Astyanax mexicanus: one gene and its partner. The protein of the gene in region 1 purifies or fractionates together with the protein of each later gene. This does not show direct contact. Links are inferred from orthologs where the notes say so. Each region holds a gene or a part of one and is shown on either strand. Other genes may lie near its edges. The genes, in order: nfx1 and larp1.

Evidence for each region.
Region 2: the proteins of nfx1 (region 1) and larp1 purify together in Homo sapiens (affinity purification with mass spectrometry, with the first as the bait; 3 studies listed by BioGRID). This does not show direct contact. The link is inferred for Astyanax mexicanus from reciprocal best matches to the Homo sapiens genes NFX1 and LARP1.

Annotation. Positions count from the first base shown.
Region 1 is NC_064415.1:33,627,371-33,631,299, reverse strand, and holds the start of nfx1 (transcriptional repressor NF-X1), read right to left. Parts: upstream 2,700-3,929; 5' UTR 2,498-2,699; coding exon 2,476-2,497; intron 1-2,475. UniProt on the Homo sapiens protein: Binds to the X-box motif of MHC class II genes and represses their expression. May play an important role in regulating the duration of an inflammatory response by limiting the period in which MHC class II molecules are induced by interferon-gamma.
Region 2 is NC_064424.1:34,122,228-34,126,156, reverse strand, and holds the start of larp1 (la-related protein 1), read right to left. Parts: upstream 2,460-3,929; 5' UTR 2,147-2,459; coding exon 1,759-2,146; intron 1-1,758. UniProt on the Homo sapiens protein: RNA-binding protein that regulates the translation of specific target mRNA species downstream of the mTORC1 complex, in function of growth signals and nutrient availability.

The DNA of each region.
Region 1 (3,929 bases):
GAGCTTTGCCTGTAGCCCGTGGCTGGGCTGTAGCTCTGTTACTAGTGTGAAGAGAGAGCGGGGCTTGTTCTGCTGCTGCAGCTCTGGCTAGTGGTTGGATGAAGAACTGCAGCTTCCTGTGAGCGAACAGTTTCTCCGGCCATCCATACACAGCTCTGCTTTACTGTTTAACCCATAGACTGTATATAGCTGGACAGAGGGTCGTCTCTCAAAAGTGAAGCCACCACAGGTCGGGCGCCCCCTGCTGTTCGGCTGCAGAAAGCCGTGTAACTCCACCCATTCCCATAGGTTTCAATGGCAAAACAGACAACTTTCAATCACGTTTTTTTCTAATATACTGTAATTCTACCTCCTTTATTTAAATGCAACAGCTAGTGTAACCTCTGCTTATATTGTCAAATTTTTATATCCCCACAGAATTCGGTGTTTAAAACGTTATTCAGCTCTATTAAAAAAAGGTGTGGTTATTGTAAAAGGGCTGCTTATGGGCGGGACCAATAACAGACCGTCAGCCCTCAGGGGCGGGTTAATCAAATGAGTAGGCTGCTCTCCACAGTCTTTCTCCCTCCTCTGGACTCTACTGCGCAGAATCAGGTGGCAGGATCGCCAACATGGCGGAAGATTTTGGCTTCATTTTAATTGAATGAATGGGAACGGAGATACGGCGTCCATCTTTTTTTACAGTCTCTGGTTTAACCCTAAACTTCTGAATCGGATCGGCTAAAATCAGAGGAATATCAGCCGATAGCCGACACCGTATTTTGGCTGAAAATCGGCCGATACCGATACACTGCCGATCGATCGTTCCATCTCTAGTTTGTATGGCAGTTTTGAAATGAAATTTATAGTCGACAAATTTAAATAATTGACATTGTTGATTATATCGACTAATCGTTGCAGCCCTAATTAAAACCTCAATAAAAGACTTGGAGTCAATTCCCTGACTTCTATTCAATTTACTAATCCAGTACTCAGAGATGAATCTAAGTTAGATTAGCTACATAAAAAGCCACCTTAGGTAATTAGCTAGCTTCTATATAGTTAGCTAGTTTAGACAAATTTTGGCTCAACCAAGTGTCACATTAGTGTCAGTGAATGAAAGCAGATTCATCTGATACTTCCTCTGTAATTGTATGGTCAAAATAACATTTACATAACATATGTGGTTCTGGCAACGTGTGTAGAACTGATATTATTACAAGTAAAGAGCCTATAACCCCAAGCTAAGCTAGCTTTATCTCTTAATTAAGAGTTTTTACTAGCTAGTAAGAACTGAGTCAGGACCTGAAGTGCTGGTGTGCCATAACTGCTTCCCATAGTTAACTATCTAACCGAGCTGGTTATAGCTTGTTAATGTTAGTTAGCGTTAGTTAACTAAACAAGCACAACATGAAAAGATACATTAGGTAACTAGCTAGGTAAGTTATCTAGCTAATAGCTATACAGTTTAGATAGGTTAACTAGGATAACGTTAGTTTAGTAGACTGATTTAGGCTTAACCAAGTGTAACATTAGAGTCAGTAAATGACAGCATATTCACCTGACATTCCCCTGTAACTTCTATTTAATCTACTTACCCAGTACTCAAGAGACAAATCTTGCTTTGCTAATTTAACTAACGCATTAACTTACGTTACCTTAAATATTAACTTAACCAAGCTTAGCTAACCTAACTAGCTAGCTAGTTACTCGGGACCAGCAAACAAGTTTGTTGGCTAAGCCAGTGTTCTGTCGAGTTGTGCTACCTTGTCAAACAGTACTACCCTAGTAGAATTTAATTTTTAAAAAGGTAAAAATACCAAAAAAGCACCATATTAGAAAACCTATAAGAAAATACTCCCAGCAGAAGCCAAGGTATGATATGTGGACAGACTAAATCATTGAATTAGGGAAAGTTCAAAAGTTAAAGCCATATACGTGAGCATAAACCGTATTAGTTTTATTGATTTTTTTTACTTTCCATTGCTATTTTAACTGCTATTTGCAGTTTTTTTTACATTCAATCAGGTTGTTTAATGATACTTATAAAAACTTAAGGAATTATCATGAAAACATTCCAAAAAAAATAGTTTGGCGCATGCGCACTGGTGTTGTGAAGCACATATCGATAGATAGCATAACTCGACAGAACACCTGTCTGGCTAAAGCTAGCGTTAGCTAACGGTTTAGCACAACAGACAGACTTACACTCAGCTATCTAACGTTATATGTTTATCATACACAACCTTCCTCCTGCCTTCCACTGTATGTCTCTATACGTTTATAAAAAACACATTAATTCATAATTTTAACACGGTTCTAACCCCTCAGCCAGTGACTGTTAGCCCCTGTATTCTACATTAGCCAGCTAAGCTATGTTAGCTATAAGGCTCCTGCGTTACTGCTGCCGGTCACGCTGAGAGCGCTAGGCTAGTCCCGGACAGACAGTCAGTCCTGTGGAGAAAGTTCCAGGTTTATTCACGGTCAGATATTTACCTGTAACCGAGGCTTCAGCCATCCGGCTCCACCCGGAGGAGAGTCTCCCCCGCTGTGTTTCAGAGATCACCGCTCTGTGTGGAGCTGGAGAATGGGGAATAACTGGAGGTAGATATTGATAAGCTAAGTGTGGAGCAGGTTAAACACAGACCTGCTAACAGCGCTGATCCGCTACACAGAGAGAGAGGGAAGTGAGAGAACCAGGGGGCGCTGACTCACACAGTCTGCTGAAGAGCCGGACTGGATCAGCTAACTACACAGCTCAGGTATTTAATAAGATTCATCTTATTTCTGCGTTCTGTATCTGTAACACTCACTCATTATCATCAGGCTGCAAACTAGATCCTTTTTTACTGTATTATAAGATCTCAGTGTAGTTCTGATGCTTTTTAAACTAGAATATTGGGATGCACTGAGTTACTGAGTTTAACTGATAGTTTTAATGGAGAAAATAAACACTTTTTTTTTTCTATTTTCCACACTCAGCAGCTTGAAAAGAGGAAACATGCCATCAGCTGTTTGTGTTTGTGTATGCCTGACCACGAGTGTGTGAGACAGTAAGCACAAAATGTAGCATAAATAAAAGATAATCTAACAGAATGTCAATTTATATATATTATATATATATCAACACTCCAACATTTTTCACATGTTGATAAAATATAATGTGCTTTTAATTAAATAATAATGTACTTTTTGTATATTCACAGTCTGAACTGTGGTTGAGCTTGTTGCTGACTGTTCACACAGACTGGTAAGAACTGATACCATTGTTAGCTAACCAGTCTAACCAAACGTTCTCCCTAAACAAAGAGACTCCACTTTCTTTCTCTTTTTATGCTTCCTTTTCTTTTTTGTATGTGTATTCGTGATGGGGCCCCAGGTGGCACAAGGTTTAAAAATTATGATAACCAGTATATTACCATAGTTTAATGTGTAGTTCCTGCAAACTTGACCAGGCCTTCTTATCCTACATTACAAAAAAAATATGCTTCTTGATGAATGGTAAAAAAAAAAAATCCCATATACACATACCTAAACCATGTAAATAGCCCTTCTAGAAGAGTTGATGCTGTTATAGCTGCAAAATGTGGGACTGCTGCACTCAAATGTTGCAATGAATTAAAATTCCCATCTCTACTGCTCTAGTGGTGGTGCTAAATTTGCAAGCTTTGGTTAGCGTACTTTATTAAAGCTCAGTGATTACCGTATTTTTCGCACTATAAGGCTCACCATATTATAAGGCGCACTATCAATAAACGTCTACAATGTCTAAAACTTCTAATTCAGCAGGTCTCACCCCTGGGTGGTGGAGGGGGGGAGGTAGCTAAGCTAAGTAAACAAAACTGCAATAAAAAAAGAAACATTTTCTTATAAAGTTAAACGAGTGCTGGATGTTAATCAACACAGATTTATTTTCTGAAAACTGTTAATTTGGGTGAGTAAAGCGCTTT
Region 2 (3,929 bases), on another chromosome or scaffold:
AACATTGTAATAATATTACAAGCCAGTATACAAAAGTTAATAGTTAATAATGATAGCCAGTACGATTTTTATATGCCACCAAGCTAAAGCCAATGTTAACCTACACTTTAAAGACATAGTTTTTATTATTTGCCAATTACGTTATAATAAAAGGCCAATAAGTTGTTAAGTTACCCATATGGTGCAAAATATATTTAAAATGTACACTAAATATATTTACATTTATAGATTATAAATATACAAAAATGGCTTGTTTATTACACAAGATCAAACTTATGAATATGCTACGTACTCTACATATCTGATTTAATATTTCATTGTGTATAGTGCATGTAACGGTAATGATTTTTTCATAGGGTGATATATTGTGACGATTATTGTTTGAAAAGATGTCTAAGATTCTGCATTTTAGGTCACTGCCAAAAGGATAATATAATAGCTTGATGATGCTACTTGGCTTGACAGGATAGCCTAGTCATATACATATATTGCTCCAGACAAATTATTGTAACTAATAATGTTCCTGTTACTTTAAAGCACTGTATTTTATTCCACTGATGGAATGGTGATATAATGGAATAACCATGCAACTCAATTCTCATTTTGTTATTACAGTATTAACTTAAAATGTAAGGGCAATATCAAGACCAGCTATAGTTGTATGTGTGTGCGCGTGTAAAAGAGAGAGAGAGAGAGAGAGAGAGAGAGAGAGAGAGAGAGAGAGAGAGAGAGAGAGGCCTACAGACTATTTTTCAAGTAACGTTAAGTAACAAACTATCTAAAATATATGTTCTGTTTATAACATATTTTATAATGCAATACATTTGCAAATAATGATCACCATTTATGAAGATGCATGTCTATGTATTTCTGTTAGCTAGGAAGCTAGTTAGGTTAGCTAATGCCAATAGTTCATAGCTGCTTCTAGCAGGCTAGCTAAAGCAAGCTAGTGGGGTTAGCCTAAAAGCTAAAGCCAATACTTTCAGCCCGTTTTCGTTACTGCTGGCATGCTAAACTCCACCTATCCCACTCCTATCGCTCAGGTAATCAGCTTTAATGCCATCAAAAATCCCCTGTCACCCCCTGTAATCAGACCGATGAATACCTTTACAATCTGCCCTGAAATCAGCAGAACTGGGGTATTTAAAGCTAGCTCAAGCGACTCGATCATTGGCAGGGCTCGGCTAGCTAGCTTTTATGCTAACAACCACATGTCATTTAGCCAGCTACCAGTCTAAACAGATTAACGCCTGCATTTGCTGTTTTTAAAGACGGGTATAAATGGATTAGGCGAAATTCATTTTAAAAAGGCGAAACACATAGGGTGTTGTTGCATTTTTTACGTTTCATCGTCATTTTATAAACTCTGAAATGGCCAAACGCTGGAATCTCAGAAGCACATGAAACACATGGGTTAGAGGTGGAGAATCCGTGTCCGGGGAAGTAAAATCCACTCCAAGATTTCGTACCAACTGCTGGGCTAGCTCTCGCTGCGACAAGCGCCAGGCAGGCAGTTGGTACAAAATACTGGAGTGGATTTTCACTTTCTGGATCTGTACGAGCCAAAAATGCTTTAAGTCAGGGTTTGGCTGGGTTTAAGCCAGGTTTTAGTCAGATTCTGCAACACCCAGTAGGTTTAACGTGGTTTCGAGGGGTTTTAGGGAACACATAGCAAAAATTAAAGGTTAATAAACACGAATGGAGTCAGCTACAGGATAGAATTAGCTAGATTAGGTAGTTTGCTAGTTAGCTACCAACCGTTGTGTTGTGTTTGTCCGTTCACGCTGACCACGGTCACGGCGTTCATCTTCTTAGTCCAGGGGTTCACCTTGGGTGGAGGTGCTTCAGTAAACTCCTTTTTATTAAAGTTACTCCTCTTGCCGCTTTCTTCTCCACCCTGCTCTCCCTCCTCGCCCTTCTCAGACCCAGACACCACCACCACCCTGTCCTGCTGGCCCATGGTCATGTTCTTCTCCTTCTCCTGCAGGTTGCTCTCCTCCTTCGCCTGCTTGAGGCTCTGCTCTAGGCCGGCTCTCCCGCACGCTCCCTCGGCCTGCTGGAGCTCCGTCTGCGGGCCTTCACGCTCCTCGTCCCCCTTCTTCAGCAGAGGGTTGCTCGGCAGGAGGGTCTCCACCTGAGCGGCCATGACTCCGTCTTCTCCTTCCTTCTTCTCCCCTGCTTTCCTCTCCCCCTCTCAGCCCAAAAACGTGTTCCCGAGCTCTCCGACCCCCTCCGGAAAAAAACAGAAGCTCGACTCGGCTCGGCTCGGTCCTCCACTCCACCCCTAGACCAAAAGGATTCAGTCTAAGACGCAGAGTGGCGAGTTCGGATCAACACATGTAAAACCGGATCGAACACCAATCATGAAGCTCTCAAAAAAAAAAACAGCTAGATTCGTGCTGATGATCTCCGCCAGGCTGGGTGAAACTCCACCACGCCACTCACGGGAGCGCGCACGCTGCCTGTGTTCGAGTCGCTAACGAATCGGTTCGTTTGAACTGCGCCCCTTTCTGTGGAAGGCTTGAGCCGACTCGCGAGTCGGAGTCGAATGTTGTGAATTGTAAGCGGCCGTGTCTGAGCGATGATGAAGCAGATTTGATTACATGTAATTATAATTTAAAAAATGATTCAGCATTGTAGAAAGAAAAGCGTGAATCGATTCACGAGTCTGAATCAAGTTTTGTGAGGCATCTGTGTGATGATAAAACGTATTTGATTAGATCTAATTATAATATATTAAACAGTTGTATGTAATGCTTTAAATTGGAAGTTTGCGCTTGTGAAGCATGATTACATCTAATTATATTATAAAAAAAATATTTGAGTGTTTTTTAGGATTTGTGTGATGGTAAGGCATATTTTATTACATCTGATTATAATATTAAAAATGACCTGATTGCAAAATTTAAACAAATGTAAACTGTTAAATTGTAAAAAAAAAAAATGTTTTGAAGCATTTATGTGAGGATAAAGTATATTTTATTGCATCTTATTATACGTTAAAAAGATTCAACATTGTGCAAAGAAAAGCCTGAGTCGATTCATGAGTCAGAGCCTAGTGTTTTGAAGTAGATGTTTGTGTGATGATAAAGCATATTTGATTACATCTGATTATAATATAAAATTATTAACATAAAAAGTTTATAAAGCGTAAGTTGATTCACATTTGATTACATCTAATAATTATATAAAATATCCTCACTGTAAAATTGTCAAATGTTAAAAACTGTAAAATAATGTGTTAAAGCAAATACATGTTTTGAAGCATTTGTGTAAAGATAAATCTTGTGTAAAGATAAATATGAGGAAGCATATTTGATTACATCTAATTATATTTTAAAAAGATTCAACTTTGTAAAAAGAAATGTGAGTCAATTCACAAGCATAAAGCATTTGATTTCTTTCAATTATAATATAAAAAAAATAATATTGTAAATAAATGCTTCTGAAGCGAGTGATTTTAACTGGAATTGTCTGTGTGATGATAAAGAATATTTGTTTACAACAAATATGAAAATTGTAAAAAAGAAAATCAAACCTTGATTCGATTCATGAGTCTGAATCCAGTTTTTTGAAGCATCTGTGTGAAGATAAAGTGTATTTAACTTTAAAATACTATACATTGTGAAAAATAAACAAGTTGAAGAGTGTAATGAGTGTAAAGCATGTTTGATAACAACTAAATATAATATAAAAAAGATTAAAGAAAATAAAATCAAAGAAATTAATTGATTCTGTGTCTAAATCAAGTGGTTTAAATTAATAGTGTCTGTGAAATAGTGAAGCATATTTGATTACAACCTTTATAATTAAAAAAAGATTCAACAATGTCAAAAAAGTATATAATGTATATATAATGAAATACATTTTTCTCCCCAATTCACAAGACCTATTATCCAGAGGTGGAAAAAGTACTGAAAAATTGTAAT